Lonchura striata: one gene and its partners. The protein of the gene in region 2 interacts with the protein of the main gene of each other region in a pairwise test. Links are inferred from orthologs where the notes say so. Each region holds a gene or a part of one and is shown on either strand. Other genes may lie near its edges.

The links.
Region 1: the proteins of FEZ1 (region 2) and PAM16 interact in a two-hybrid assay, tested with the Homo sapiens proteins (2 studies listed by BioGRID and IntAct). The link is inferred for Lonchura striata from reciprocal best matches to the Homo sapiens genes FEZ1 and PAM16.
Region 3: the proteins of FEZ1 (region 2) and PDCD7 interact in a two-hybrid assay, tested with the Homo sapiens proteins (2 studies listed by BioGRID and IntAct). The link is inferred for Lonchura striata from reciprocal best matches to the Homo sapiens genes FEZ1 and PDCD7.

Annotation. Positions count from the first base shown.
Region 1 is NC_134618.1:3,696,081-3,706,669, reverse strand, and holds PAM16 (mitochondrial import inner membrane translocase subunit TIM16), read right to left. Parts: upstream 3,897-10,589; 5' UTR 3,831-3,896; coding exon 3,828-3,830; intron 3,353-3,827; coding exon 3,268-3,352; intron 2,877-3,267; coding exon 2,737-2,876; intron 2,354-2,736; coding exon 2,288-2,353; intron 2,117-2,287; coding exon 2,030-2,116; 3' UTR 1,374-2,029; downstream 1-1,373. Other genes in the region: zinc finger protein GLIS2, read left to right, coding at 1-219; CORO7 (coronin-7), read right to left, coding at 4,905-4,910, 4,991-5,077, 5,160-5,251, 5,358-5,493, 5,572-5,688, 5,766-5,855, 5,964-6,105, 6,179-6,264 and 11 more. UniProt on the Homo sapiens protein: Regulates ATP-dependent protein translocation into the mitochondrial matrix. Inhibits DNAJC19 stimulation of HSPA9/Mortalin ATPase activity.
Region 2 is NC_134625.1:3,082,913-3,092,903, forward strand, and holds the start of FEZ1 (fasciculation and elongation protein zeta-1), read right to left. Parts: upstream 4,831-9,991; 5' UTR 4,728-4,830; intron 3,863-4,727; exon of another isoform or gene 3,846-3,862; intron 327-3,845; 5' UTR 299-326; coding exon 24-298; intron 1-23. UniProt on the Homo sapiens protein: May be involved in axonal outgrowth as component of the network of molecules that regulate cellular morphology and axon guidance machinery.
Region 3 is NC_134613.1:21,929,941-21,939,854, forward strand, and holds the start of PDCD7 (programmed cell death protein 7), read left to right. Parts: upstream 1-6,018; coding exon 6,019-6,705; intron 6,706-7,773; coding exon 7,774-7,912; intron 7,913-8,241; coding exon 8,242-8,478; intron 8,479-9,077; coding exon 9,078-9,165; intron 9,166-9,532; coding exon 9,533-9,650; 3' UTR 9,651-9,914. Other genes in the region: CLPX (ATP-dependent clpX-like chaperone, mitochondrial), read left to right, coding at 124-288, 595-683, 1,215-1,379, 2,007-2,306, 2,437-2,529, 2,750-2,856, 3,879-3,969. UniProt on the Homo sapiens protein: Promotes apoptosis when overexpressed.

The sequences.
Region 1 (10,589 bases), on a different chromosome or scaffold from region 2:
CCCAAGGCGGGCAAGGGGCTGGAGAGCCGGAAGGAGAGGGGCGAAAGGACGGAGCCGGGGCGGCCGCGGGTGCCCCCCGAGAGCCTGGCGCTGTTGCCGGGGGCCGTGCTCGACCTCTCGGCCGGTGTCAGCTCGGGGGGCAGCCCCGAGGCGCTGCCCCCCGGCTGGGTGCTCATCCCCCCCGGCTCCCTGCTGCTCAAACCCGCCGCCGTCAACTGAGGGGTCCGACGATGCCCGGGGTCAGCCGCCGGCCCCGTGGGCAGATCCCGCTCCCTGGGGACGGGGGGGCATGGCCCCCTCCTCCCCCTGCAGCCCCGGCGGGGCCTCGCTCGTGCTTTTACCCGTCACGAAAGAAGAACGGACTCTTCTGAGAAAAGCAATAATCCCTCGGCGGCCGGAGCCGGCTGCGACCCCGTGCTGGGGGCAGGTGGGGCACAGGGGGGGTCCCCCTGCCCCCTCTCCCCCCCGGCCCTAGGCAGCCGGATACGCCGCTATTTATTTCTCGACCAGCCCCCTGCTCCGACGGGGTCCCGCTCGGGCTCTCCTGCTTCCGCTGACTCGGCGTCTCCCTGCCCGAGGCCTCGGTGCTGCTGCCGCCCCCGGGCTCCTGCCGCACGGACAGCGGGCTGACAGCCGGGGGACCGCCCTCTCCGCAGCCCCGAGCCGTGCCCGGCCGTGCCGTGCCGTGCCGCCCACCCCGCCCGGCCGCGGGCGGTGCCGCAGCCGGCTGGGCACTCACCGGCCCGGCGCCGCCCGCCTCCTCCCGCTCCCTCCGCACGGCCGCCCCGGCCCTCCCGTGACAAGGCACACGGCCGCGTGTGCTGCTCGCCGGGCTCGGCCCCTCTCTAGCTACGTTCATACCTAACCACGCACCGCGAGCTGATGCGGGCAGCGGCTGCCGGGCTCCCGCTCCTCGGGATGCGGCGCTGGGATGCTCCCGGGTGAGCCCCCGGCGTGGGGCGGCGTGCCCAGCCTCAGCGCGGGCGCAGCTCGGAGCCCCCCCGGGGCTCACACGCGTCCCGCTCGCTCCGAGCCGCGGGGGTCTCCCCATTCCCGCCCCCCGTGCTGAAGGAGCCCCGCCTGCCCCGCAGGGAGCCGGTCTCCCTGCCCTCACCGGCGGCCGCCCGGCGCTGCCCTAGCCCAGCATGGCTGCGGGCCCTCGACCAGGCCGCCCCGGCCGGTGAAACGTCTCCTCGCTCCTCATCGGTTTGTTGTTGCACATTCCAGGACATCAGTATTTTAACGGTCTCGAAGTGCCTTTCTATCGTAGTTTCTGGGTTGTTTTTATTTTCCTCCTGTTGGGCTCCATCGCTGTTAGCGTAGCGTGTAAGGACTGCGCAAGTACGAGATAAGCTAACGACTGTAACACTATATTCGTCCAGGGGAGAGGAAGTTTATTAAGAAAACAATAAAGTGAAGTTGAAGTAAGTTCCTGTTTCAGTCCGTGGCCGTGGTGCCAACGGCGCTGGGGACAGAGGGGTGCAGGGGGGGGACGGGTGTGACCTTGGGGGCACGGCTGGCCCTGCCTGACCCCCAGCCGTGTCCCCGCGCTCCTGCTCAGGCGGCCTCGGCACCAGTGAAAGCCTGCCAGCATCTGCGGGGTGAGCTGCAGGTGGGGACAGCCACAGCGTGTCTCCTCACCCCGAGCCAGCAGCCATCCACACTGGGAGAAGGTAACGGCACAGCACTCCCAGGGTACGGAGCCAGAGACAGCCGAGCACTCCATCCAAGAGCATCCAACCTCCCCACCAAAAATAGCTCCTGCAGCCTCCCCCAGTGCCATTTGAGCCCTGGCAGCCTCAGTGCCCTGGGGACACCCCTTCTTCCCCAGCTGCCTCCTCCTCCTCGTCTTCCTCCCCCAGGCAAACGCAGCCCCTCGCAGGGGCCGATCCTGCCGGGATCGCTGGGCAGGCAGGTCCCTGCTCCCTCCCCGGGTGTGGAGCAGCCAGGCCACGTGCTGGAGGAGACGGCGTTTATTGGCTACCTATAAGTTAAGGGTGAGGGGCACGGGGGGCAGGGGTGGCAGGAGTCACGTCTCGGCTTTCCGCCCCTTCTCCTTGTCGCCCTTGGCCTGGATGCGCAGCTCCTCGTCCAGCCGCTCCTTGGCTCTCACCACCTGTGGGACACGGGGTGACACACGGGATGGGGTGACACACGGGATGGGGTGACACACGGGATGGGGTGCCCCCTCCCCTCCATGCCTCATCCCTGGGTATATCCAGGCTCTGCCTGTCCCAAAAGCCAGACAAGGGAAGGAAGGTGCAGCCCTGCTCCTCCCGGCGCTCACCTTGGACTGGAGGTAGAAGGAGCCTCCCACTGATTTGTCGTTCACCTTGAACAAGTGGTCGTAGTTCTGCCGAGAGAAGCTCTGGGTCAGAGGCATCCCAGCCTTGCCATTCCCACTCCCAAACCTTGGCAGCCTCCCACTCCCCAGAGAATTGCTGAAGAGTGATCCCGGGGGACACGGCTCCTCTGCCTGACACCTCTTAGGAGCCCCCGTGTTCCCAGCAGGGCACCTCCAGAGATCCCATGTCCCTTCCCTGAGCAGCCCCGCTGGGCAGATGCAGAGGCCAGGTCTGGAGGGCTGCTCCAGCTGGGGCAGGGAATCCTCAAGCTGTGCTTAACTGAGCCCAAGACAGCACGGGGGACCAGCTGCCACCCCCATGCACAGCAGCACCCTTGGAGAGGCCAGGCCCTGCTAGCACCATCCCTGCCTGGCTCCAGGGAAGCCTCTACCTTCTGGATCTCCTCAGGGTTGAGGCTGGAGACGTTGAGGATCTGCTGAGCTTCCTGGAGGCTGATGCCGATGATCCTGGAGGCAGCAGCGGACTGGGGCCTCTCGGCGCGTCCCCGTGCATTGGCTGCGGCCTGGCTCGCTGGGGACAGCAGGGCCTGAGTCCCCTGCCACCCGGCCCTCAGGCAGCACAGCCCACGCACCTCCAGGTGCTCAGACCCCGGTGTCCCCCTCTGTCCCCATCCAGCCACCCCGGGGCCATCTGAACACCGTCCCAGTGCCAGGGAGGTGGCAGGGAGCAGGCAGGCACCGTTTGCCACAAGCAAGGCAGGGCTGGGGCTGCCACATCCCAGCGATTATCCCACTCTGCCCTTTGGAGTGCCTGGCAGCAGTGCCAGGATGAAGCCTGGTGACAACCTGGCAGTGTCCCCTGCAGGGGATGGGGCGCGCTGGGGTGCCCAGGGAAGGGTGGGGATGTGGAGCAGTGCCCAGCAGGGCAGCGTGGGCACACGGAGCAGCATCCCAGCTCCTACCTGCAAACTCCTGGCGCAGCGCCCGCATGAAGGCCCGTCCCACCACCTGGGCCCCCACCAGAATGATCTGTGCCAGGTACTTGGCCTGCGGGGACACCCTGCTGTCACAGCCACCGCGGCTCCTGTGCCCTGTCACCTCCCCTTGGGCCCTGCACAGCCCCACGGGCTCTGTCACCTCTCGCCATCCCCTGGGGCTCTGCTCTCACCCCATTGGACTCCTGTCATGGCCCTGTCCCCCCTTCTCTGTCCCTGTCCCCCCACCCAGGCCCTGCGATCTTTCCCAGGCTCTGTCCCCCCCCCAGGCCCTTTCTCCTCTCCCCTGTCCCCTCTTCGCTGGCCCCGCGACCCCTGCTCTGTCCCTGCTCCGCTTTCACTGGCCCTGTCCCCCCTCCTCTGGCCCTGTCCCCCTCCCCATGACTTCTTCCCCCTTCCCTGCTCCTGTGACCCCTTCCCCTGTCCCTGCCCCTCTCCCCTGACGCTGGCCCTCCCGGAACCAGCTGCCTGGCCCGCTCCCGAGCGCGCTGCCGCTGCCGGTCCCGGTGTCCCCCGTCCCCTCTCACCATGTCCCCGCCGCCGCTTCCGCCCGCGGTCACGTGCCCGGGGAGGGGCACGGCGGACACCGAGACGGCGGCGGCGCGGCGGAGCGGCCCGCCCGCGGCCACAGCGCCCTCTGCCGGCGGCCCCGCGCGGGAGGTCCTCCGGCGGCGGGGCGCGGCTTCCCCGTGTGCCCCCATCCCCGGAACCTGCGCGACCCCGGTGCCGCTGTCCCCCCGCTCCCCGTGTGCCCCCATCCCCGGAACCTGCGCGATCCCGGTGCCGCTGTCCCCCCGCTCCCCGTGTGCCCCCATCCCCGGAACCTGCGCGACCCCGGTGCCGCTGTCCCCCCGCTCCCCGTGTGCCCCCATCCCCGGAACCTGCGCGATCCCGGTGCCGCTGTCCCCCCGCTCCCCGTGTGCCCCCATCCCCGGAACCTGCGCGACCCCGGTGCCGCTGTTCCCCCGCTCCCCGTGTGCCCCGGTCCCTGTGCCCCCCACCCCCGGAACCTGCGCGACCCCGGTGCCGCTGTCCCCCCGCTCCCCGTGTGCCCCCATCCCCGGAACCTGCGCGATCCCGGTGCCGCTGTCCCCCCGCTCCCCGTGCGCCCCCATCCCCGGAACCTGCGCGACCCCGGTGCCGGTGTCCCCCCGCTCTCCGTGTGCCCCCCTGCCGCGGTCCCCGGGTCTCCCGGATCCCTGTGTTATCGCCGATTTCCGTGTCCCCCGGTGTCGGTTTCCATGTCCACCCGGGCCAGTCCTTGTACCCCCCTGCCTCGCTGCTCATGTCCCGCTCGGTTACCGTGTTCCCCCACTGTCGATCCTGTGTCACCCCGAAGCCCGTATCCCCCTGGAGCCTGTCCCTGTGTCGCCCCCGGTCCACATGTCCCCTTGTTCCCTGTGTCTCCCCCATTCCCAGTCCCCGTGTCCCCCCGGTGTCCCAGGATCACGGCAGGACACGGTGCTGGTGCAGCGGCTTTAATAGCGGGTCCTGCCCGCGGGGGGCCCTGCGCCTCCTCCATCTCTTCCTCCTCCTCCTGCTGCTGCTCGTGGTCGCCCCGGGCCGGGTGCGGGGTCCCGGCTCCCCGGGGGCGCGGGTCCCGCCTAGTCCTGCGGGAGGCCGGGGGTGAGCGGCGCGGCGGGGCCGGTGCGACCCGGCCGGGGGTCCTGGGTCCCCCTCCCGCACTCACCCACTCGTCCTCGTCCACGCCCTCGAAGGAGTCCTGGGGCAGCGGGTCGTCCCTGTTGCCCAGCCGGGCCACCATGGCACTGAGGAGCTGTGGGGAGAGGCCGGGCAGAGCCGTGGGGCACAGAGCATCGCCTCCAGACCTGGCGCAGGGTGCTCAGCCCAGAACTCACCTCCTCCTTCTTCTGCTCGTCGGTCTTCTCCTCCAGGTACACAGACGCAGGGACGAACTTCCGAGCGGGAGCCTCTTTGGGGGCCTCGCTCACTGTGGCAGTGGTGTCACCACGGGGCAGGAGGACTCTACCCCATTGACTAAAGCCACCCCAGCCACCCCTGAGGGCCGCGGGTCCTCGCCCAGCCCCTGCACCCACCTGGCAGCATGTCTGCGGGGCGCAGGCTGGCGCGGCGCTGCTGCCCGTCCTGCCCGTCCAGCCACGCACCGGCAGCCAGGGCCGGCTCCCACCACACGCGGGTCGGCGGGTAGAGATCGTCCTGGAAATACTCCTTCTATGGGGGCAAGGGTGCTCAGGGGGTGCCCTGCCTCCTTCCCCTCCCCAGACACGGCCAGCCCCCCTCGCCTCCTACCTTGACGCGTGGCACGTGGAAAGCCACGGGCTCCAGGGTGCTCTGCCCCAGGCGCAGCGCCCGGGCAAACTCCACCTCCCGCACCTCGCACGCCGTTTTGGGCAGGAAGACGAAGCCCTGGTGGGGTGGGGGTGTGAGTGGGGCCTGGCAGCACAGGTAGGGGCCCAGGGACAGGCAGCGTATCCCCCCTTTACCTTGTGGGGCTCATTGGAGGTGAAGCTGTTGCACTCGAGGAAATAGGGGGGCTCAGGGGTCACTTCATAGAGGAAGACTCTGGTGTCACCCTGGGGATGGAGCGAGATGGGGGCTGTCAGGGGACATGGAGGGTCCCTCCACACTGTGGGATGCTGTAGGCAGGGAGCCCCACTGTTTTTTGGAGGGCAAGCCCTCACCTTGCCGGTGAGGAAGACAACGCTGGTATCCTCATCGTAAAAGGGCAGGAGGGTGGAAGGGGCCACGTCCAGACCAAGGACAGACAAGGGTCCTTCAGACAGGGCCTGTGCCCGGTACAGGAGGATCCTCCTCTCGCTGCGGCTGTGGGGAGGTGACAGTGAGAGCAAGCAGCGTCCTCGGGGACCCCTGCCCTGGTGTGTGTCCCCCTCTTTACCTGTCAAAGCCGGACACCAGGAGGAAGTCACCACCACAAACCCAAACCAGGCGTGCTCCGCGTCCCCCCTCAGGACCTGGGCCCTCCTGCATGGGGTGAAGGTCACCCTGCCTGCTCCGAGAGAGCTGGGGGTGCAGTCATGTGCCCACAGGGAGGGTTTCCTGCCCACACCCCCAGCTCTCCAGTCTGTCCCCCATGCTGGGATTGTACCTGTTGAGGCTGAGAGCTGCGCCGTGGCTCATAGAGCCGTATCCGTCCGTCTTTGCTCACCGTTGCCAGCTTCTTCCCATCCGGGCTCCAAGCCATGCTGAAAATCTGGAGAGACAGACGTTGTGCAAAAGTCCCAAAGTTGCCTCTCAGGTGTCCCTGGATTTGTCATCCCTTACCTGATCCGTGTGTCCCCGCAGGCACAGGACTTCCCGCCCGGCGCTGAGCTCCCAGATCCGCACGGTCATGTCGTAGGAGGAGGAGACCAGGAGATCGGATGCCATGGGGTGGAAGCGGATGGAGTAGATCTTTTCCGTGTGACCTGGTGAGGTTCAGTAGTGCGTGGTTGTCCCCAGCTGTGGGTGCCACCAGGCTGCTTTGTCCCCACTTTGGGGTGCTCAACAGGCCCCTCACCTCGGAGAACGGCTTCAGGCTCCTGCAGGGTCTCCCGCAGCCCTCCCTCAGGGATCCGCCACAGCCGGATCCTGGCGTCCTCACCCGCTGTGCCAGAAGGGACGGGCAGTTGTTAATGGGGTGATCTGGAGTCCCTGGAACCGGGGGACTCTCCGGGCACACCCGGGCAGGGCTGGCACGCACGTACCGACAGCGAGGCGCCGTGGGTCGAAGGGGTCCCAGGTGAGGTCGGCCACCGCGGCGCCGTTCTGGATGGTGGGCACGGCCGCGTCGGGGAGGCGGCCGGGCTTGGAGAGCTGCGGGCGAGAGCCGGGGGTCACTAGCACGGCACACCCGGCGCCGCGCCGGCCTCCACACCTCCCCGGGGTACCTCGAGCACGGCGATCTGGCCGCCGGCGGAGAGCAGGGGCAGGGCGACGCGCTGCTGGTTGGCACAGAAGCCGTCGCACTCGCCCGGCGTGGTGAGGCTGAGCCCGCGCAGGTTGGTGAGGTGCTGGTCCCGGTGCAGCGCCCGGCCCTGCGCGTGCCGGAAGCGGGAGCTGGGCCCTGCAGCGGGCGAGGGCCGCGTGAGCGCCCCGAGCCCCACAGCGGGGCACCCCGAGCCCGCCCCGCTGCCCGCTCACCCAAAAGGCTCTGCAGGGACTTCTGGCTGGGGCTGCTGGCAAAGCCACTGGAGGGGCCGGTGCTGGCGGAGAGCGAGGTGGCCGCGCTGCCTGGCGAGGCCAGTGAGGATGGTGAGGAGTAGCCACTGGCTTCCTAGGGGAGAGAAAGACCAGACAGGGGGTGCTGGCACCCTCGCCTTGTCTTGTAGGATGAGGGCAGCAGGGACCCCACCCCTTCAGCGTTCAGCGCACTTTTCCAGCGCCCCATGCTCACACTCTGGTCTGCGTCGGTGTGGCCAGTGTCGGTGTCGGTGTGGCCAGCGTTGGTGGGGCCGGTGCCAGCAATGATGGGGGATGTGAAGGTCTCTGTGGGTCTCCGTGCAGGGTGCAGGCTGACTCTCCCCACCTGCACAGAGCACAGCGGTGAGCATGGGGCAGTGGCAATGCCACCAGCAAGGACACACCCCCCGGATGACACTGACCTGCTGGCTGTCCCCTGCCCACCAGCCTTGGGCATCGGTGGCTGGCAGCATCCCTGTGCAGTCAGGGAACAGATCCTCGTGGAACTCCTGGACAGACTGGGGGAGAGGGGGTGGGGTGAGACAGATGTTCTCAAAATCCCACAGCCTCTGTCCTGCTGTAGCTGGGGCACCTCTGGGCACCCCTAGACACTTCCACACCCAGACCCCACTACCCAGAACCCAGATTTCCTGGCTGAAGTGCCCAACACCCATTGCACAACAGCACCCAGCAGGTGGCACCCAGCTGTCAGCATCCACTCTCCAGCACCCCAATCCTGCACGCAGCGCCCAGCTCCCCAAATCCAGCACCCAGACTCTGCAACCCACCACCACCATCAATGTTTGACCTCCACTCCTGCTCTCCCCAGGCTGGGGACTGGGCTCTCACCACAGCCAGGTCCTTTTTGCCACCCAGTGCTGGTGAGGTGGCACCCATGAGATGACAGCAGGCACTGACGCCCACAGGGTCCCCTTACCTTGCGTGGCACCAGGTAGCTGACGGGGACGAGGGCGGTGTCAGTGAGCTGCAGGACACGGAGCACCTCGCAGGCCATGACATCCAGGGCCAGGCGTGGCACGGCTGCCAGGCCCCGCGTGCTGCCCTCTGTCCGGCACTGGGTCACTGCGGGACAGGCAGGGTGGCCGTGCTGTGGGTGGCCAGGCAGTGGTGAGTCCCCCAGGGGAGATATGGGTGGGATGGGACCTGCTTACCCTGGGTCAGTGCTGGCTGTGTGGGGGCTACCTCAAAGCAGTACAGGAGGTTTTCTCCCTGGAAAAGAGGTGGTAAGGACAGGGAATGAGCAGGGCTGTAGGAAGCACCCCACTGCACCCACATGCAACCTCCTGTACTCCACTGGTGCACCCACATGTACCAAGCTGCACCTCACAACACCCCCCTGCATCCTCCTGTCCCCCCAGCGCCTCCCTGCACCCCCCAGCCATGGCACCTCACCTTCCCCGCCAGCACCAGCAGTCCCGTGTCGGCATCGTACAGCGGGATGGTCACCCTGCAAGGGAAGAGGGGTGCTGAGCCAGGGGCCCCCGTGGGAACAGCACTCCCATGGATGTGGGGCTGGATGTTGTTCCTCCACTGGTGCACACCCCAAACCCCATCCTGGGGCAGCGTGGGGCAGGATAAGGCCACGCTGCGATGGGAGGGCAGCGCCGTGCCCGGGGGTGCAGGTGCCGGGCCGGTCCCCAGGTGACGACCCTCGCTGTCCCAGCCCGGGCCGACAGGTTGACAGCAGGATGTCACTGCCGCCTGCTTCCAGCCCCGGCTGCGCAGTGCCCAGCCGTGGGGCATCCCGCTCCTTGCCCTGCTCCCGGTGCCCGGCCATGGCACCCGGCCTCACCCGGGGAAGCTCCGGGCCCGCGGGGCTGCCCCGGGGCCAGCCGGGCCGGCTGGGCCAGTTCGGGGCGTCGGTGCCAGCTGCAGCGTGTCCCTGTCCCTGCCCTGCACCCTGCCCCAGAGCGCGCAGGGTGGCCGGAGGGGACCGCAGGGAACACTCGGTGACCTGAGGGGACAGCGGTGAGAGGAGCACAGAGACACTCCGTGCCTTCCCTCGGCAGGGCTGGAGGAGGGAGCGCCGCGGGCAGAGACCAAAGGGACAATCTATTACTTTCGGTTGACGTTTCTGTGGCTGTGCCAAGGGGAGGGAGCTGCTCCATGCCATGAAGGGTATCTGCGGGTGGTTTGGCATGGGCCTGCCCCGGAACTGTTGGCACAACCTAGGCAAACACTGCCAGGATGTCCGGGACAGGCACCGGGGTCCCCTGCCAGCAGCACAGAGGTGCAGGTCTGGGACAAGGGCACCCTGAGTGCCTGGCTGTCCCAGCCCAGCCCATGCCATCCTCACCATGCCAAACAGGGAGCATTGCTCTGCCGTCACAGGGGCATGCAAGGGCCACCCACTTTCCCCCTGTCCCCTGGGACTCGGTGGCAGAAGCTCTGTGGACGCCAGAGGCATGGGGGGACTGGGATCCCAGGGCACTGGGGCTCATCGGTGCCAGAGTCCCTGGTTACCCTGGGCACAATGGATATGGGAGCCCCTGGGGGTGCCAAGGACACCCAACCCAGCCTTTTTTATTACCAGGGTCGCCAGGGGTCCCATGGGTGCTGGGGATACAAGGGAGATACTTATACCTGGATCTAGCCCTACACCTGTGTGTACACACACCAGGGGTGCTGGAATCCCAGGGACCCCGGCTCCAGGGAGGCTGAAGGTCCTGGGGGGCCCTGGAGGGTTTGGAAGGTCTGGGAGCTTCCAAATGTCCTGTGGGTCCTGGAGATCCTTGTGACTCTGGGGAATCCTGGGGTCACATGGAGCTCCCAAGAGGTCCCAGAGGTCCTTGTGACTCTGGGGAATCCTGGGGTCATGGGGTCTGGAGGTCCCTGTGGAGGCCTCTGGGATCTTTATGACTCCCATGTCCCAGAGGTCCTGGAGGCACTGGGGGCCACTGACTCAGAGGTCCTGGGTGCCCTGATGGTCCCTGTGACTCTGAGGTCCCAGATGTCCTGGGTATCTCAGGGTTCCCTGTGAATCAGAGATCCTGGATATCCCGAGGGTCCCCGTGACTCCGGGGTCCCGGTGGTCCTGGATGTCCCGGGGGTCCTGAATGTCCCGGGGGTCCCCGTGACTCCGGGGTCCCGGTGGTCCTGGGTGTCCC
Region 2 (9,991 bases):
AGGAGCAGGGGGGCCTTACTCACTCCTCATCCTGCAGGCGCTCCTCCTCCTCCTGCGCCTGGAGCCGCCCCCGCACGGGCGCCAGGCCCTCGGTGGCGGCGTCGTAGTTGCGGAAGCACACGGTGAGCTTCTCGTCGAACTCCTGCACCAGGTCCTCCATGGACTTGAAGCTCATCATCTCGGCCGAGAAGCTCTCCAGCTCGGCCAGCGCGGGGTCCGCGGGGCGCGGCAGCGACCCCCCATCGTCCCCGGGCCCCTCCTCGAACTCCTCCTCCAGACTGACCAGCGGCGCCTCCATCCTCCTCAACACCGACGTGCTGCCTTAGCTGCAGGGACAGGGTGCCCGTCAGGCACCGGGCTACTCACAGCTTGCAACACCCGGCTCCCCGTTCCCTTCGCTGCTGCCAGGGCTGGTACACAACCAACGGCATCTCTGTAGTATCCTGGCAGTAACCCAACAGGACGGGCTACCTTCAGAAGAAACATTCTGCTATTGTGGCACTATTCTAGCTGCAATTTCATAGTTGCAACAAAGTACTGATAGTTGTCCAAGCAGTTCAGTATGTAAAAAATGTCATACTGCTATCCATTTCCCTGAAGTGGTAGTATCTTAGTTGTATCCTTATGCTATACTGTTGGATGATGCTCTCTTCTGATGCAGAGATGGGGCAGCTGAGAGGTGTTTTAAAAACTTTTATTCCATTTTCAGTCCCATGTAAAGGGTGAGACAGTACAGATGTTCCAATTCACGCTGTTACAATCAGAAGCGGACTATTTCCTAATCACAATACATTAAAAATGTTTCTTGGCCTTTCAGCTTTTGCCACCTCTCAGTTACCCCATCTCTGAGTCACAAAAGGGCTTATTCTGACACTACATCACTACTAAGCAAGTAGCCTGTAAATATCAGTAATGTGCTGACAATACCCCAAAAATGTGAGTGGTGCCCTGATGGCATCCCAGAAGTATCTTACCATGACTTTTGTAGGGCCCTTGTAGCATCTTGGAAGTATCCTACAGAGAGCTGCACTTTTATCCTGAGAAAGCTGACTCTTGTCCTGGCAGCACCTCGGGAACTTTGTGATAATATCCTGGTAGCATCATGGTAGTACCAGTAATGTATCCTAGCAACGACCCTGTAGTATCTTAGTAGTGCCTTGTCAGCAATACTCATTAGCATTAGCAATACATTTACAATTAGCAAAGTGTTGCTTTGGAGTGTTAGCCTGATAATACCTTAGCAACATCCTGATAGTAGCTTTGTGCTGCACTGAGAGTATCCTAGTAGCAGTCAGCATTGAGTAGCTCAGCACTGTCCTGATGTTGTACTAGCACAGGCAGGAATATCCTGATTCTGTCAGGAGCATCCTGGTGCCCTGATAGTATCACAGTAGTAGATAACGAGTGTCCTGATAGGATCCTAGCAGTGGTGTCACGGGACACAGCTGTTATCCTCAGTGTGCTGGTGGCACTTTGGTAGCACAAAGAATTATCCTGATATTTTCTTACTGCCCCGTAACTACACTGAAAGCAACCTGCACGTATCTTGAGAGGAACCTTGTGTGAGCTGCTCCAGTGGTACCTTCCTACGAGTGCCTCAGTATCAGCTCTGGAAGTATCTTAGTAGCAGCCTGATGGTACATTAGCAGAGCTTTTGCAGCATCCCAGTAGTATTTACAGAGTATCCTGGGAGTACCTTAATGGCACTCTGGAAGTGCCTTACTGCTGTCTGCAGAGTAGCCTGCCCGCATTCTAGTAACCTCAGAGCATCTCAGCAGCACCCTGAGAGCATCTCAGCTGTGTCTTGATAGTATTTCACTACTCCCTCAGGAGATTACTGAGAATATCCCAGCAGTAGCCTCAGAGGAAGCAAGGAGTAACTCAGTAGTAAGCCCGGAGCAGCCCAGCAGAGGTGGCAGCACCCAGGCCTGGCCATGCTTCCCTGGGGAGGGGAGCACAGACATCCCAGCTCTGGGGAAAACCTGCCCTGAAAGGGTGTTGGGTCACAGCCCTGTGCAGCACCGCCGCAGCCCATGCACGTGTGCCCCCCTGGGTGCCCCCAGCCCTGCAGCACACGCCCTGAGCATGCACACCCTGCACGTGTGCACCTGCAGGGGAGCCCAGCCCTGCACACGCCTGCAGCACTCACACACACACACACACACACGGGACAGGGCCTGGTGCTCCCTGTGAACATGCATGCCATGCACAGAGATGCAAAGCACGCACACGGAGCGGCGCATGTGTGCACAGAGTGTCTGCACACAGGTGCATGTGTGCTGCAGCGGTGCACAGGCGCTGGGCTGCACACACTGCACAGGCAGTCACCCTCACGTGCCCCGGTGGATGCATGCCCTGTCCCATGCAAGTCTGCACGCACACACACCTTTGCAAGCATGCATTCCCACCGTGTGCATGAGTGCACACCTTTGCACCCCCAACGATGTCCGTGTGTGCACGCCCATGCACTCATGCATCCCCACGTGCAATGCCATGCACACACACAGAGTGCACCCCTGTGCATGCCTGCATCCCCTCGCATACATTATGCACCACTGTGCACTTGTGCATCCCCACATATGCACCATGGAGCCCGACATGCTCACAGCACCCAGCTCCAGGCCCCACAAACACCAGCAGCACACACCTGCACACACCTGCACACCCACGTGCCTGCACGTGTGCCCCTGCAACTGTACACACACACCTTCACATGCACACACACTCCTGCATGCACATGTATCTGCACGGACACACAGCCCTGCACACACATCTGGACATGCACACACCTGCACACACATCTGCACACACACACAGCCCTGCATGCACATCTGCACACACACACAGCCCTGCACACACATCTGGACATGCACACACCTGCGCACACACACACAGCCCTGCACACACATCTGGACATGCACACACCTGCGCACACACACACAGCCTTGCACACACACACAGCCCTGCACACACATCTGCACACACACAGCCCTGCACACACATCTGGACATGCACACACCTGCACACCCACACAGCCCTGCACACACATCTGGACATGTACACACCTGCACACACACAGAGACCTGAACACACATCTGGACATGCACACACATCTGCACACACACAGAGACCTGAACACACACACACATCTGCACCCACACACACTGAGCCGGACATGCACATCACTTGCACACACATCTGGGCACGCACATCCCTTGCACACCCGCACACACCGAGCAGCACACACATCCCTTGCACACCCGCACACACACCTGGGCACACACATCCCTTGCACACACATCTGGGCACGCACATCCTTGCACGCCCGCTCAGCCCTGCGCACACGCACACCAACACGCACACGGACCCGCCCTCGCTGCGCTCGCCGCCCCTCCCTCCGCCGCTCCCCGCAGGCGCACCCCCGCGGCCCCACGACCCCCAGAGCGCCCCCGCAGCGGGCGAGCACCTCCCCGGCCCCGCACGGCCCCGCACGGCCCCGGCCCTGCCCGCAACATCAGCCCGCGCTGCCCCCAGACCCGACACCCCCGCAGCACCGCATCCCCGTGCGACCCCCCCGCACCGCCTGCAAGGGCAGCATCGCCCGCGCTCCCCAAACCCGCATCCTTCATGGCCCCCCCCAAACCCCGCATCCTTCATGGCCCCCCCAAACCCCGCATCCTTCATGGCCCCCCCAAACCCCGCACCCTTCATGGCCCCCCCCAAACCCCGCATCCTTCATGGCCCCCCAAACCCCGCACCCTTCATGGCCCCCCCAAACCCCGCACCCTTCATGGCCTCCCCCAAACCCCGCACCATTCATGGCCCCCCCCAAACCCTGCACCCGCCTGCAGCCCCGCATCCTTCATGGTCCCCCCCCAAACCCCGCACCCTCCTGCAACCCCGCATCCTTCATGCCCCCCCCAAACCCCGCACCCGCCTGCAGCCCCGCATCCTTCATGGTCCCCCCCCAAACCCCGCACCATTCATGGCCCCCAAACCCCGCACCCTCCTGCAACCCCGCATCCTTCATGCCCCCCCCAAACCCCGCACCCGCCTGCAGCCCCGCATTCTTCATGGCCCCCCCCAAACCCAGCACCATTCATGGCCCCCAAACCCCGCACCCTTCATGGCCCCCTCAGCCCCGCACCCCCCTGCAGCCCCGCATCCTTCATGCCCCCCCAAACCCCGCACCCTTCGCGGCTCCCCCCAGCCCTGCACCCGCCTGCAACTCCGCACCTTTCATGGCCCCCCCCCCAAACTCCGCATCCTTCATGGACCCCTCAGCACCTGCAACCCCGCACCTTTCGCGGCCCCCAGTCCCGCACCCTCCTGCAGCCTCGCATCCTTCATGCCCCCCCAAACCCCGCACCATTCATGGCCCCCAAACCCCGCACCCTTCATGGCCTCCCCAGCCCTGCACCCTCCTGCAACCCCGCACCTTTCATGGCCCCCAAACCCCGCACCTTTCATGCCCCCCCCCAAACCCCGCATCCTTCATGCCCCCCCCAAACCCCGCACCATTCATGGCCCCCCAGCCCTGCACCCGCCTGCAACCCCGCACCTTTCATGCCCCCCCCAAACCCCGCACCCTTCATGGCCTCCCCAGACCCGCACCCACCTGCAGCCCCGCACCCCTGACGCCCCCAGCCCCGCATCCCAGACGCCCCCAGCCCCTCTGCACCCCCATCCCCGCACCCCAGACGCCCCCAGCCCATCCCCGCACCCACCTGCAGCCCCGCATCCTCCGCGCCGCGCCGGGGGTGCTGCGCCCGCACTGCGCAGGCGCGGGGCGGGCCGGTGACGTCACCGGGCAGGGCGCGGGCGGCGGCCGTGACGTCATCGCCCATCCCGGCTCCGTCCGTCCTTTCCCGATCCCCAAAATCCCCCGAGCCCCGCCGGGGGCTCGTCCTTTGTCCACGCGGCTCTGCGCCTGTCCGCGGCACCGAGGGAGAAAATGCATCCATGGAAATGACTACGGAAATGTACAGATGGGAAATAGAAATAAAAGATGGCATATACGGCAATGTAGCCCAAGATTTTTTTTTTTTTCCTTTTATAAAATAAAACAATTAAAATTATGACATAAAAATGAAGCGAATTACAAAATAAAAAAACCGTATTTTTCCTATATTTTTCCTCTCAAAAAACATAATAGTAATCACAAGAAATGAGCAGCTTTTTATAATAATATTCTTTCAGCTTTTTGTCTTAAAATTTATTAGCAATTTAAAGAATTGCTTTCGATGAATGTTGTTCTGCATGCTGTGGGTTTTTTTTTTCTTTTTGAAATCTGGGTTTAGTCCACAGCCAAGTGGGATGTCTGACCTTAAGCTCAGTTTCCCCGATCTTGACAGGCCCTGCTGCCTGCAGCTGCCTGCTCCCTCTCTGTGCTGGTTTTCCACGCAGCAGGGCAGGAGAAAGGTTTCTTCTCTGGCACATGGCTTCAAGTTGTTCACATTAAGGAAAAAAACCTCAAAAGAGTCTGTGGAATGGTTGTTGTTAAAAATCTAATGAGATTTTGCCAAGTCCTGGCTGGAGCAGCGCGTGCTTTGGCTCGGTGCCGAGGAAATCCTCGAATCCCAGAATGGTTTGGGCTGGGAAGGACAAGGACCCTGAAGCTCCTTCTGTTCTCAGGGCTTGGACCAAGTTGCTCCAAGCTCTGTCAAAGCTGGAGCTGAGCACTTCAGGGGATGGAGAAGGTCTGTGGCACACAGATAGCAGGGCCTCCCACCCTCACAGAGTGGATGTCTTCCCAAAATCCACCTGACCCTGCTCTCCATCACTCCCTCGGTCCTGTCCCTCCACACCCGTGCCCCAATCTCTTGGGTGGTCCATGTGACATTAGCCAAAGAGGCAGGATCGATCCTTCTCACACCCGAACCAACAAACTGACAAAATAATGACAATGTCCTGCCCAGGGGCCAGAGGAAACGCTTGGCCAAAGAAAGAACAACAGTGCCCAGTGTTTACAGGAATTAAAAATTCACATTCCTGACTCAACACGGCAAGGACCAAGGCAGGAGGGTGCATTTTTGGGTACCCGATGATTGGGGGATGGAAATGATGATTGGGGAGGGGATGGAAAATGGTGTCATCTGGTAGAGAAGGAGAAAAGAAAAAACAACAGGGAGAGGAGAGGAGAGGAGAGGAAGAGGAGAGGAGAGGAGAGGAGAGGAGAGGAGAGGAGAGGAGAGGAGAGGAGAGGAGAGGAGAGGAGAGGAGAGGAGAGGAGAGGAGAGGAGAGGAGAGGAGAGGAGAGGAGGAGAGGAGAGAGAGAGGAAGGGGAGAGGAGAGGAGAGGAGAGGAGAGGAAGGAAGAAAGAAAGAAAGAAAGAAAGAAAGAAAGAAAGAAAGAAAGAAAGAAAGAAAGAAAGAAAGAAAGAAAGGAAGGAAGGAAGGAAAGAAGGAAGGAAATTCCCAGTGTGGAACTCATGTCAGAAGAATAATAAAGCACCAACTGTTTAGCTTGCTGCTCTGTGGGACTAATCACCCCACCTACAGGGGCACCCAGCACCATTCTCCCCTGTTCTGCTATTTTTTCACTTCTATCTTCTCACATTCATCTCTCCTTATTGGTGAAAGTGGAGTGGATAAAACTAAAGGGGAGGTAGCTCACTTTGGAGCCTCTGCCCTGCGTAACTGTCTCAGATTTGGACAACACTGCAGCTGGGGCTTTGGGAGGGTTCTGAGACTCAGCTCCTCCCCAGCAGCTGCATCTCCACTGTGCCCAGTGCCTGCCTGGACACCAGGGAGTCCAGGAGCTTCTGGAGCTTCTCCCAGCACTGGGGGAGCTCCAGAGCTGCACCCCGGGGTCACAGCACAGCTGGGCTGCACTGGTGCCTCTGCCCCGTGCACTCTGCTCCAGTGTGGGAAATGGATTTGTAGAAAATTGTGGTTAAAGCTGACAGGTCAATAAACGCTTCTAGTGTATTGTAATCAGGAAATGGTCGGCTTCCGATTGTGATGGCGTGAATCATAACATCTGTATTCTCACCCTTCACAGGTGACTGAAAATGGAATGGAAGTTTTTAAACACCTCTCACTTGGCCCATTTCTGGGTCAGCAAAGGTCATCACCCAACACTCCTGCGCAGCAGGGAAGGGCACAAAGGAGCAGCTCCGAGCCGGGATGGATACAGCCAAGAGAAGGAGCCGAGGGGGCTGGGTGGCCCCGGGCAGCTGGGGACAGCGGCCAGGGACTCTGCCAGGAGCAGCCGGCGGGCAGGGGAGCGCTCCCCCAGACTCGCCTGCTCTGTCCCCGTGTCCCCACTGCGCGTTTCCCCCCGTGTCCTGCCGTGTCCCCCTGTGTCCCCTCTATATCCCCCCATGTCCCCACTCTCCCGGGTCTCTCCCGGGTCTCTCCCGGTTCTCTCTCGTGTCTCTCCCGGGTCTCTCCCGTGTCTCTCCCGGGTCTCTCCCGGGTCTCTCCCGTGTCTCTCCCGGGTCTCTCCCGGTTCTCTCCCGTGTCTCTCCCGTGTCTCTCCCGGGTCTCTCCGGGTCTCTCCCGTGTCTCTCCCGTGTCTCTCCCGTGTCTCTCCCGGGTCTCTCCCGTGTCTCTCCCGGGTCTCTCCCGTGTCTCTCCCGTGTCTCTCCCGGGTCTCTCCCGTGTCTCTCCCGGGTCTCTCCCGTGTCTCTCCCGGGTCTCTCCCGTGTCTCTCCCGGGTCTCTCCCGCCGCGTCCCCCCATGGCCGGGCAGTTCCCACGCTCGCGGCTGCCACTGAGCGGCCAAACCGCGGAACTGCAGCTCGGTGCCCCGCGGTGCTCCCGCCGGCGGCGCCGGCAGCAGCGGCCGAGCCCCGGGAACGGGTGACCGAGCTCCGGGAACGGGTGACCGAGCCCCGGGAACGGGTGACCGAGCTCCGGGAACGGGTGACCGAGCCCCGGGAACGGGTGACCGAGCACCGGGAATGGTGTGACCGAGCACCGGGAATGGTGTGACCGAACCCCGGGAACGGGTGACCGAGCACCGGGAACGGGTGACCGAGCACCGGGAGCGCCCGGGCTCCCGGGAGCACCGAACCCGGGAGCTGCGGGCGGTGATGCCTTTCCCTCCCCTTTCCCACGCCGCCGCCTTTTCTTTTTTCTCCCCTGTACCTGCTTTTTCCATTTCGCTCCTTGTCCCCATCTTTTCGGTCCTCCCCGGCTCTGCCCGTAGCTGTTTTCCATTGCACCGTGTTTTCTCTCCAGCTTTCAGGTTTTATTGCATTTCCCCCCGTGTGTCCTGTGGCCCCTTGGTATTCTGCTGTGTTCTCTCTGTCTGGTTTGTCACTGTTAATCCAAATGTTCCTTCCAGACCCTGTAGCATGTCGCGGGGGGATTTCTTTCACCGTCTTTATTCTGTACTCTGTCTCTCTCTTCGAATTCCTCCTCCTCTGCTCTGTCACCCACTGACTGTGCAAAGAGAAGTCCCAGCATTTCTCCCGGGCTTTCATGTGGAAAAAAAAATTTGGAAAATCAAGGGAAAAACTGAGAATGAAGGGAAAATCTTAAAACTTAAAACACAAAATGCAGAAATATGGAAATGAAGGGCAGAAACTTGAAAGAGAAAAAACCCCAGAATAAAAGGAACCCTGGAGATAAAAATTGGAAAATCTTGGAAATTAAGTGGAGGAATTGGAAATAAAAAGGGGAAAGCTAAGAAAGTAGAACACTAGAAAATAAGGGGTAAAGCTGGGAAAAAAGGTGTAAAATTTGGAAATAAAGGGGGAAATGGGAATTAGAGAGGAAAAAAATGGAAAATGAAGGACAAAACTGCTAAGGAGGAGAGAATTTGACAACAAACTTTGTAGGGAAAAGAAAACAGAAAACCTTGGGAACAAAGTGGAAAAACTCAGGAGCAAAGAACACTGCCAGGAAAGCAGCTCCTCACCTGAAGGGGATGGTGGATGGCACAAGGACCCCCTGAACAGAAATGGGGACAGGAATGCTGGATTCCTCTCCTCAGGGACCAGGGTGATGATACTTTGCAAACATCAAACAAGTTTTGGATGTGTTTAAACTCAAGGATGTGTTTAAACTCAAGCTTTAACACTAAATAATCTCACTGTGGATTCTTACGGCACGTTCCATCAAGAGTTTTATTAAAAATAAGAAACAAAAGAGTCCAGTTTCTCCCATTTTGGCTCCAGGCACCAGAAGTTTTCCTCATGCCACAGCCCAACTCCCACAGGCTTGGGCGTGGGGATGCTGCTGTGCTGGGGCGCTGCTGCTCCAGGGTGCTGGTGGCCATAGGGTGATGGCGTGGCAGAATGGGGGTGGCCACTGGGTCTGTGGGCTGGTGGCCTCAGCCCCTGGCCACTCCCCAGGACACAGGGGGCTGGACTGGGGAGCAAGGCGAGGGTGGTGGGGCCTTGCTGCTTCACCTGCAGGATGATCCCCTGCGGCACCTGGAGAGGATGAAAAATAACAAAAAAAATGAAAACATGCCCTAAATCTGCTGATTTTTAACCCACAAACTGCTTGAGGTTGGTGTGAATGTTTGAGGAGGAAGGGGTTCCCTGGCCCTGCCACCAGAGGGAATGAGGAAGGACAAGAAGGTTCAGATTTAGGGATCTTTGAGGGTTTTCCAAACTTAAGGACTCCAGGATTTTGAAGAAGGTGCTGCAGAGCTGTCCCTCTTGGGGTCTGAACCCAGAAATGGAGGTGTGTGCTCCAAACCCACAAACAGGGGCTAAGGAAGGAGGTGATTCAGCCAAATAAAAGCTCAAGTATTGGGATCTTTGTCCCCATTGCTCTTCACCCTTCCCAGAAGAAAGATCAGAAGAAGGAAGACTAAAACGGTAGGATTAAAAGGAATGAGAATAAAAGATATGCAATTAAAAGAATTAGCAAAATTAAAATCCAGAGGAATTTAAAGAAACAGAAATGAGACTAAAAGAACTAAAAAAAAAACCCTGAAAACCAGAACTTCAAACCACAGAACTTCAAAAGCATGTTGGGAGAGGACAGAAGTGACCCTGGAGAGGATGGAAGTGACCTAGGGAGAGTGGAAGT
Region 3 (9,914 bases), on a different chromosome or scaffold from region 2:
AAAGCCATTCCCCCTTGTCCTGTCTCTCCTCACCCTTATTAAAAGTCCCTGTCCAAGTACTTGGATTTGTGTGCTCTAAGAGAAATGTGGGTCAGTTCTAACATGCAGCTTTTATTTTGCCAGGTAAAACCTTGCTGGCTCAGACTCTGGCTAAATGCCTAGATGTCCCTTTTGCCATCTGTGATTGCACCACCTTGACTCAAGCTGGCTATGTTGGGGAAGACATTGAATCTGTCATTGCAAAACTCCTGCAAGATGCCAACTACAACATAGAAAAGGCACAGCAAGGTAAACTTCCACTGTGTGTTACAGAGACTGTTCATTTTGTTGAAGTACTCTAAGCTTTTGAGACCACCAGTACTCCTGAAATTCATGTCCTGCTGCCTGTACCCAAAGTTTAAATCAGGTAGAATAAACCTGAAGAGAGCTCAACGTGTATTTTTTTGGTTTTGTCCACAATTGGATAAAATTACACAAGTTTTTGCAGAGAGGAAGTAGAATAGATGCTGCTCCCTCAAATTTTACTATTCTCTGTAAACTCTTGCTTCTCTTTAAAAGTAGGGTTGTCATTAAACCCATTTTCTGTAACTGCAGGTATTGTTTTTCTGGATGAAGTAGATAAGATTGGCAGTGTTCCTGGTATCCATCAGTTACGGGACGTTGGGGGAGAAGGTGTTCAACAGGTAAATACTTCCATGAAGTGATTTTACTTCTTGAGTGAACAGGACATAGGATCCTGTCATGTCAAAAAGCATGGAGTCACAGTTCTTCAGTTCCTTAGCTATTCACCTTCAAAAGGTGAGTCTTTCCTCTTGACTTCATTAAAAAACATAATCTCAAGAGCAGTTTGAGGCATCCTCATGGAAGCATTTTAGTTCAAGAATGTCTTTGCAGTATTCAGCCAGCCAGTTCATAATATTCAGATAACCAGTTACAAAGACAGGTAACATTTCCCATTTAAACAGAACTCTTGATGCAGCTAATCGTTATATGCATAATGTGCATGGGAGCCATATTAAAGGGATGTTTTTATCCTTGAGTGGGGCTGTCTCATAGGGAAAACTGACTTTTTTTGACACTTACTGTTACTGTAAAGGTATAAGGGAGCAAAAAATACAGGTGTATTTGTGAATGTGAACATATCATGTTGTGCCCTTTTATATGATGGTACACAATGGGAATTTTTTATTGCTTATTTCTTCTTTCCTTCTTAGGGCTTGTTAAAATTACTTGAAGGCACAATAGTAAACGTTCCAGAAAAGAATTCTCGGAAACTACGTGGAGAAACAGTGCAGGTTGACACAACAAACATTCTGTTTGTAGCTTCTGGTGCTTTTAATGGTCTTGACAGAATTATCAGCAGGAGGAAAAATGAAAAAGTGAGTGCATCAGCCTGTGTCCAGGCTGAAAAATCATCATCTTGATTACTGTTCACAACACCGACTTTTACAGGTCTTGCTGTATTTGTAAACACACTAAATTTCTTTATTTCAGCAAATGGTGCCAAAACCATCATCATCTTAAAACACCTTGTCCTGCATTTCACTGTTTCATAGATTAATGTCTGGGGACAGGGTTCTGGCTGCAGCATTCTGACAAAATGTGCTCCCTGTCTCTAACACTAAAGGAGTGACTGTTTAAGTTATTAAGTTTAAGTTATTGTTCATATTAATTCATGTAGCTTCCCATGTAAGCAAACTTGCCTGCATTTGCTTTGCTTATGAAATGTCACTGATACTTGTAAAATGACCAGAACATGTTGATAACCTTCTTTGTTTTAAGAAAAAAATGGCTCTTGTTCTGATGTATTAATCCTTTACTGAGGAAATTCAATTTTGTAAGAACCTGATTGTATACAAGGGGTCTAATTTTACTCTTAAGTAGTTTCTTGAGCTCGAATTAGTATGTAATGACCTAACCAATCACTGCAGATTTTTTAATACTCACGGAGAGTAAGAAAATTCAGTTATTACAGTTCTCTAAGCAGAACATGTTTGTTCTTGCAGTACCTAGGATTTGGGACACCATCTAACATGGGGAAAGGCAGAAGGGCTGCAGCAGCAGCTGATCTTGCCAACATCAGCGGGGAGTCTGACCCACAGGAGGATATTGAGGAGAAGGATCGCTTGCTGCGGCACGTGGAAGCCAGGGACCTCATCGAGTTTGGCATGATTCCTGAATTTGTGGGACGTTTGCCTGTTGTGGTTCCCCTGCATAGCCTGGATGAGAAAACCCTCGTACGGATTCTCACGGAGCCACGGAACGCTGTGGTTCCTCAGTACCAGGCACTATTCAGCATGGATAAGGTTTGAGTTTTTATTTGATGACTCTTGGGTGTTCATTTTTATAAATAATGTTGTTTCAGTAATGCTTGCACTCGCCATGCCGAGTTATAAATTCAATGATTAACTGAACTTCCTATTTTTCTCTCTGTAGTGTGAATTAAATGTAACTGAAGATGCATTGAAGGCTATAGCCAGACTGGCCCTGGACAGAAAAACTGGTGCCAGAGGTCTTCGATCTATAATGGTGAGTAAATTAAGTCTTATAAACAATAAATGAAGCTTCTGGATTTGTGTGTATGGACCTAATCTTGACCATTTCCAGTTAAAGCCACACTTAGTTCTGGCCCTTACATGGATACAGTAAAGCTGTGAGTATTCAGAGTTCTTCCAAGAAGACTCTCTGAAAATCACTTGTTTATGTAGAAGAGGGCATAGAGTAATATTTTCCCTCTATTTTCTTGTAGGAAAAGCTGCTGCTGGAGCCCATGTTTGAAGTGCCCAATTCTGACATCGTATGTGTGGAAGTTGACAAAGATGTTGTAGAAGGCAAAAAAGAGCCAGGATACATTAGGTAAAATGGTAACAGAAGTAGCAGAACAGACCAGTAATACAACTAGACAGGTATTCTGATGGAATGAGCACAAATCAGTGCACACAACTTAAAAAAGATTCAATGCTCTGTATATTGTACACAGCTGAATTAGTGCCTGTTCTGTCCTAGAGACTTTGGATTTGTATTGCTTTCACTTTTAAACAGAAATGTTAAAATAAACATATATGAAGTTACTTTCATGTGTGTATACCTGTAGAAATGGAAGTAAATTTTAAGGTAACAGTAAAAATTTTAAATTCAGTTGTGACTGTACTGAAATTTCTGAAATGAAACTGTTTCTTTCTTCCTACTTTTTACCACAGATGTGGGGGTTTTTATACAAGCTCCAGGCTGCAACAATTTTCTACATTACTCTTGCAGCAGTGGAGAGCCACAAAGGCACATTTATTGATTTGCTGAACTCTTGTTAAAATAATCAATTTAATGTTGTAAAGAGTACGGTAATGATGTAGAATGTTGAAAACATTGGACAAATCTGCATTTAAAAAAAAAAATCTAACCATTTCCATGAATGAAGGAGGGAATTGAGAGAGAATGGGTCAGGTTAAAACTGGTTAAAAAATTAATTTCTGAATTTCAGGCCTGAAATTTAGGAACTCTGTCTTGGTTTCTATCACTGACAATGTTGTTTGAATGGCTTCCTCCACTAAGGTACTTTTACTCATTCCAGCACCTTGTCTGTGCTGAAGCTTGGCTCCACCTTGTGTGGTTGGAGGGAGTGAAAATGTATTACACTGATGGTTGCTTGAAGTAATTCTGTATAGCACCAGAAATACTAAATGTTATTGATTAAATCAAACAACTTACTGAAAGTCAGGCTAATTGAATTCAGCTAATGAGCCTGTGTGCTGGTGGCACTGCAAATGTGCACAGCAGCATTTCCAGATCAGAAGGTCAGAACTTTTGTCACGGGGCACTGTGCATGTGACATGTTTGTCAGAAGCTATGGAAAAGTATCTGATCATTCCTTCCAATCCTAGGGCTCCCACCAAGGACTCATCAGAAGAGGAGTATGACTCTGGAGTGGAGGAGGAAGGCTGGCCTCGACAGGCAGATGCTGCAAACCATTAAACACTGTCAGAACTCTCACCTGCAAAAAGCTCACTCGGTTCTTTCCTTGTGGCTGCCTCTGGCTCCAGCCTGTCCCCAAAGGCACCAGATCTGTCTCGGATACAATTCATGATGAGGACCTCCATTAGCTAAATCAGATCGTGTATTTTATTGCAGCATCACATTGATTTGATGGACAGAGTGTGGACTGGGATAGCATAATGTTCAAATATGAATTGTATATTACACTTGTTCAATTAAAATGTATAGCAAATGCAGCAGCACCTGCACTGCCCTTGCCAGAAACTAAACCAGCAGCACAGGTGCTGCCAATAGTTAGATTTAACAATAATGTTACTCTACAAGTGGGAAATCAAAATTAATAATTAGTAGAGGGTGCGTAAACTTATCTTAGCTCCTGGTACAGCTCACAGGGGGTTATGTTCAGGTCAGTGTTAGAGTCCTGTTGGTGTGTGTAACCCAGCAGGCGCTGGAGTGGCTTGTTACATTGGTGGGGGAGGAAGCCCTTGTGGAAAAACTGGGACACACTTTGTGACACTGCTGGGACATCCTGCTAAAATGTGACACTGGTTTGTTACAGTCATTTGAATATCCAACAGTAATATCCTTCACGTCTCCATTGGGAGCTTTAATCACCTTGGATGCTGTGAAAGAAGGTGAAGTCTGGTTTTCCAGAGGGGTAAAGATTCCTAGGAAGCAGTAAAACCATCTAAATTTGGATGAGAAGTCAATATAAATTTTTAAATATTAATGTTCTAATATAGTACATTTTGTTTAACGTATTGGAACTATCATGCATCAATTTTTTGGTGCCAGGTATTTGCCCAACCTATCTTATAATGTTAAGAGATGAAAGAAGTAAATGTATAATATTTTTGCTGTAATCAGTAGTGATTGTTCACATGACAGTGCTTTTTAAGTTATATTCTCAAATGCTAGTATTGCATCTTGTGGATTTGTCTTTGATTTTAGTCTCACAGCAAGAAATCTTCCCTCTTCTGTTCTCCATCAAAATAAATTCAATCCTTTAGGAAAGCCTTTGTAAAAACACTAAAGGACCTGTATGTTTTTGATATGTTTCAGGAATTAAAATCGTCACTTAAAAGTTTTTGTCCTTTGGTGAAAATGTGGACTTGAGCTTCCCTAAAACTTTATTCACACTATTTAAATAAAACTTTCATCCTTCTTTTTAGTCTAGTGGCTGTTGTAGGACAGGAAAGGATACTGAAAAATCTATTGACCCTATTTTTGTTATTAATTTCTGTCATGTAAATTCTATGTAATACTTGTGTTCTTCCCTAGCAGCAGTGTGACATGCAGTTGTAGCCGGGTGCAACAGATACTTCCCGTGGGATTACAGATTTTTTTTCAGGTTAAATGACCCAGTAATGGTTCAGAAAAAGCTGTGTTTGGAGTCGAGGATATTTCTAAAAGCTTGGTCCCTTCAAAATGGGAGTTTGTGGTGAACTATCTGTAACTGCATCTTCACTTTCCTTTTTGTAGAGTGAAAAAACATAACAGCTTTTAATTCTGAATCCTTTAATTCAAATCCTTTTTTTAAACAGATAGAAAAGACACCACATTTTAGGTGAAACTGTTCAACAACTTAGTTTTGAAAGTTGTTTGGAATTCTGTAACCAAGAACTGTTTTTAAGGAAACAAAAATGCCATGTAATTACAGTTTGTACTTCACCTCTGGCGTTTGAATAAAAGCGAATATTCAAGCAGTAGCGAGTTGTCATCCCTGACGCCATCCCCAGGTATTTCGAGTTTTAGGAACTTAATTTTTAAGCGGAGCGAGAGGCGGGTGGGGCGGGTCCTCCGGGCCGCCAGGGGGCGCTGTGGCCGCGGCAGCACTGTCATGGCGGCGGGCGCTGAGGGCTGCGCTGAGGCGCTGAGGCGGCGCTGTCGTGGCGGCGGGCGCTGAGGGCTGCGCTGAGGCGCTGAGGCGGCGCTGTCGTGGCGGCGGGCGCTGAGGCGCTGAGGGCTGCGCTGAGGCGCTGAGGCGGCGCTGTCGTGGCGGCGGGCGCTGAGGGCTGCGGCGGGATCATGGCGCAGCCGCCACCTTTCCCCGCCCGCCTCCCGCCGCCCTTCCGCGCCTTCCCGCCGCCCTTCCCCGGCCCCGCCGTCCGCCCAGCGCCCTTCGCGGTGGGGCCGGCGGCACCCCCGCCTTTCTTCTTGCCGCCGCCGCCTGCGGGTGAGGGGGGACCGCGCTTCCCGCCGGGCGTCCCCTACTTAGCGGCGGCCGCGCCGCGGGCAGCGGCCGAGGAGGAGGCGGTGCAGCGGCAGCAGGACGAGCTGTGGCTCTCGCAGTTCCTGGGCCGCCGCCGCGCCGCTCCCCCGCCGCCGCCGCCGCCCGCCGCCGCCAGCCCCAGCAGCGCCCGGGCGCTGGCGGTGGCGGCGCTGCGCCGGGTGGCCCGGCTGACCGCGCTCTGCCGGGCCCTGCGGGGCAGCGAGCAGCGGGGCGACGAGCCGGGCTGGGCCCGGGCGCGGGAGGAGGCGGAGGCGGCGCTGCGGGAGCTGCGAGAGGTCGTGAGGCCCCTGCGGGAGCCCGGGTACGGCGAGGCGCTGCGCAGGAAGGCCGAGAGGGCGAGGAAGAAGAGGCTGCGCCTGCAGAGGAGGAAGCACGAAGCCAGGGCGGCCAGGGAAGAGGAGGCGGCCCGAGCCGCCGAGCGGGAGGCCAAGATCGACCAGTGGCGGGCTAAGTGCATCCAGGAGGTGGAAGAAAAGAACCGGGTATGGTCCCCAGTGCCTGGTCCTGCCTCTCCCCGGGGCTCCAGGACAGCGCGGTGGGGCAGGGCTGACCCGCCGGTAGTGGGGTCACGGCGGGCTGTGCCTGCCCCACACCTGCCTTTGACTCCCTTGCTTCACTGAGGTGCTGCACGACTTCAGCCTACTGAGAGACGTGCTGTTTCCAAGGTCTGCAGCCCTGCTTCTTGCTTAGAAGTCTTGGTGGGCATCTCGGTTTTGCCATCCTCATATTCTACGCCTTGACATGAAATTGGGGTTTAAGTTGTTTCTGAACTCCTGGAGGTTTTCCTCTCTGGTCCCAAGTGTCAGCCTGTCCACACAGCTACCCTGTGGTGATCCGTGCTGTTTCAGTATCCATCAGCCTTGCTTCCTGCTTTCATCCCTCTAAGGCTTGTGGTTTACAAGATTTTTGATCTCATGGGGAAGTAAAACATCTCCAAAGCAAAAAATACCGCCTCAAATTAGACTGGGAAGTGCTGTAGGCACCTTTCTGTTTGTTTTTGGCTAAACTCCCTTTTCTGCTGTTCTACTGCTGGGATGGTCCAGAGCAGCTGCTGAGGAAGGGTTTGTGGTCAGACTGTGGCAGGTTAATGGTCTTAATTGCAGAACTGTGGAATTGGGATGGTTTCTGTTTATTGTAAAGTATTTGCCCTAAATTTCTCTGGTTAAAGGTTCTCAGGCTTTCATAAATCATTTAGGAAGTGTTCAAAAATGTGTGGATGTGGCACTTGAGGATATGGTTTAATGGTGACCATGGTGGTGGTTCTGGGTTGACAGATGGACTTGATCTTTCCCAGCCTTAACAACTCCATGATTCTGTGATTTGGCCCAGATTTATAAGTCCCACAGCATTATTTATTTCTTTTCTGAAGTCTGTGGTATTTTAGCCTTTTTTCATAAAAAGTCAGGGCTGGATGGTTGACTTGACTTGTTTCTGTTATTGTGAAGTCACTCTGCTCTTCAGTGCTTTGCTAATGTCTGAAAATACCATTTTATTTGCGTCTTTGAGGAATATTTCACACATCTCATCTGTTTTTTTCCTTCCTTGCCTAGGAGCAAGAGCTGAAGGCTGCTGCTGACAGTGTCCTGTCTGAAGTCCGGAAGAAACAAGCAGACACTAAGAGGATGATGGACATCCTGCGCGGGCTGGAAAAGCTTCGGAAACTGAGGAAAGAAGCTGCTGCCAGGAAAGGTTCATTACGAGATTGGTCTAAACTTTTATAATTGCACACACAGGAAATAAGATGAGGGTGCCCTGTGCTGACTAGCAAGGCACAGCTTCAAAAAGCTGTGTCTTCATTGTGATTTTAATTACAAGAATAGGTACAAAGTGCTGGTTTCAGTGGTTGTGTTCATATGTTTCCAAGCTCTTTGTGGAAGAAGGATTATTCCAGTGCGAATTCTGTCTGTTAACAAGGTTAAGCTCATGTTCCTCTGCCAGTTTGCAAGCTCTGCTCTCAAGTCTGGTATCAAGCCCCCTTCTGAATCTGAAAACTTAAAATCACTTCTGTTTCTGTTTAGGTGTTTGCCCACCTCCTTCAGCAGATGAAGCATTTGAAAATCAGGTGGAGAGTCTCCAAACATTGCTCAAAACTCGCACAGAACTTTATGAAGCTGAGGAAAGAGCATTAAGGGTTATGCTGGAGGGAGAACAGGAGGAGGAAAGGAAGAGGGAAATGGAAAAGAAACAGAAGAAGGAGAGGGAAAGACTACTACAGCAGAAACTGGAAATTGATTCTAAGCTGTTTGGGGATCCAGGTAAATTCTGCCTCCTGTTCTTAACAGTGTTTTTCCACATCACATCCCCATCTCACAGACACTGGATTTGAAATGCAGGCACAGATCTAGTTGAGAAAGGAATCATCCACTGGAGTAATTTGTGGTCTTAGAATGAGGGATAAACATAGTTCTGTTAACACCTGTGGTGTAAGAGGAACTGTTGCACTCTTCAACATGGACTGCAGCACTTCTCAAGCTGGTTTCATGTTGTTTTGCAAGAAGAGGTTGTAGATTAAACTGAAGTGAGAATAAACAGAATAGATTGAATACTTCCAGAACCATAGATGCTTTAAGCTAGTGCTTTGGTAAGTGTAACTCAGGTAATCTGTAAAGATTCAGTATTCATATGTTCCCCTTTTTTAGATGGTGGAGTCAGGAGGTTTTGCTAGTCTTGGCTTTCCTCTGACAGCTGTGGTACAGAGCAGGAAATGTGTAACACATAAACAGTGTTTCATATATTACTTATGGACCTGATGTCAGATTACATCTGGGCAGTAGCAAATGATTTTGCAAATTATGGGCTAGAATGGAAGGTTTTTCTGGATTATTAAACAATTTCTGTGTCTGTGTTTTTACAGCTGAATTCCCACTCGCCCATCTACTGCAGCCTTTCAGAGACTACTACTTACAAGCTGAACATTCAGTAGCAGCTCTAATCCAGATCAGGTAAAACCAAAGGAAGTATTTTATCATCAGGGAAGACAAACACTGTTTTTTGCAATTGTAAATTCAGTGCCCCTTTTGGTTTGTCAGCTTCCAAATATGGTTATGCAATGGATTGTTCTGGTTTTTTTCAAGTTTCATGCTTGAGTCATATCCAACAGATGCCCATGTGAGGCAGAGTGTACTTCCATGCATAACCATTCCATTTAACACCAGAACATTGAATTTTCACATTTGTCTTTTGAAAAACAAGTTTAAGAGTACAAGTATTGTGGATTTTGTATCGATCAGTAACGTCTATGTGGGTGTGGAAGTCTTACCACCAAATTAATCCCAGCTCTCCTCTCAAACAACACTTTCTCTGTTAAAGGCATGAATGGGATCAATACCTGGTGCCAGCCGACCACCCCGAAGGAAGCTGCATCCCTCCAGGATGGGTTCTCCCAAGTCTCCCCACCAATGACACTTGGGCCACTGCTGTCAGATAATTTCGCAATAAATTATTCCAACGTTGGGGGATTGTTTCGTTATAATTACGTGTAAATATGAGAGGGTCCAAAGAGGAAGTCTCGTCCTCTGTTTCAGCAGCCAGGTACTGGAATGTCTTTACTGCAACATCTTGAAAAAAAGTTTTAAGAATTGTTTTTGCTGATTGGCTGTGCAGGGAGATAGCTGAGCAAGCCCAGAGCTGCCAGGCCTCTCATGGTGTGGAATTACATTCCAGCTGCGAGTTCGTGTTAAATCTCAATCTT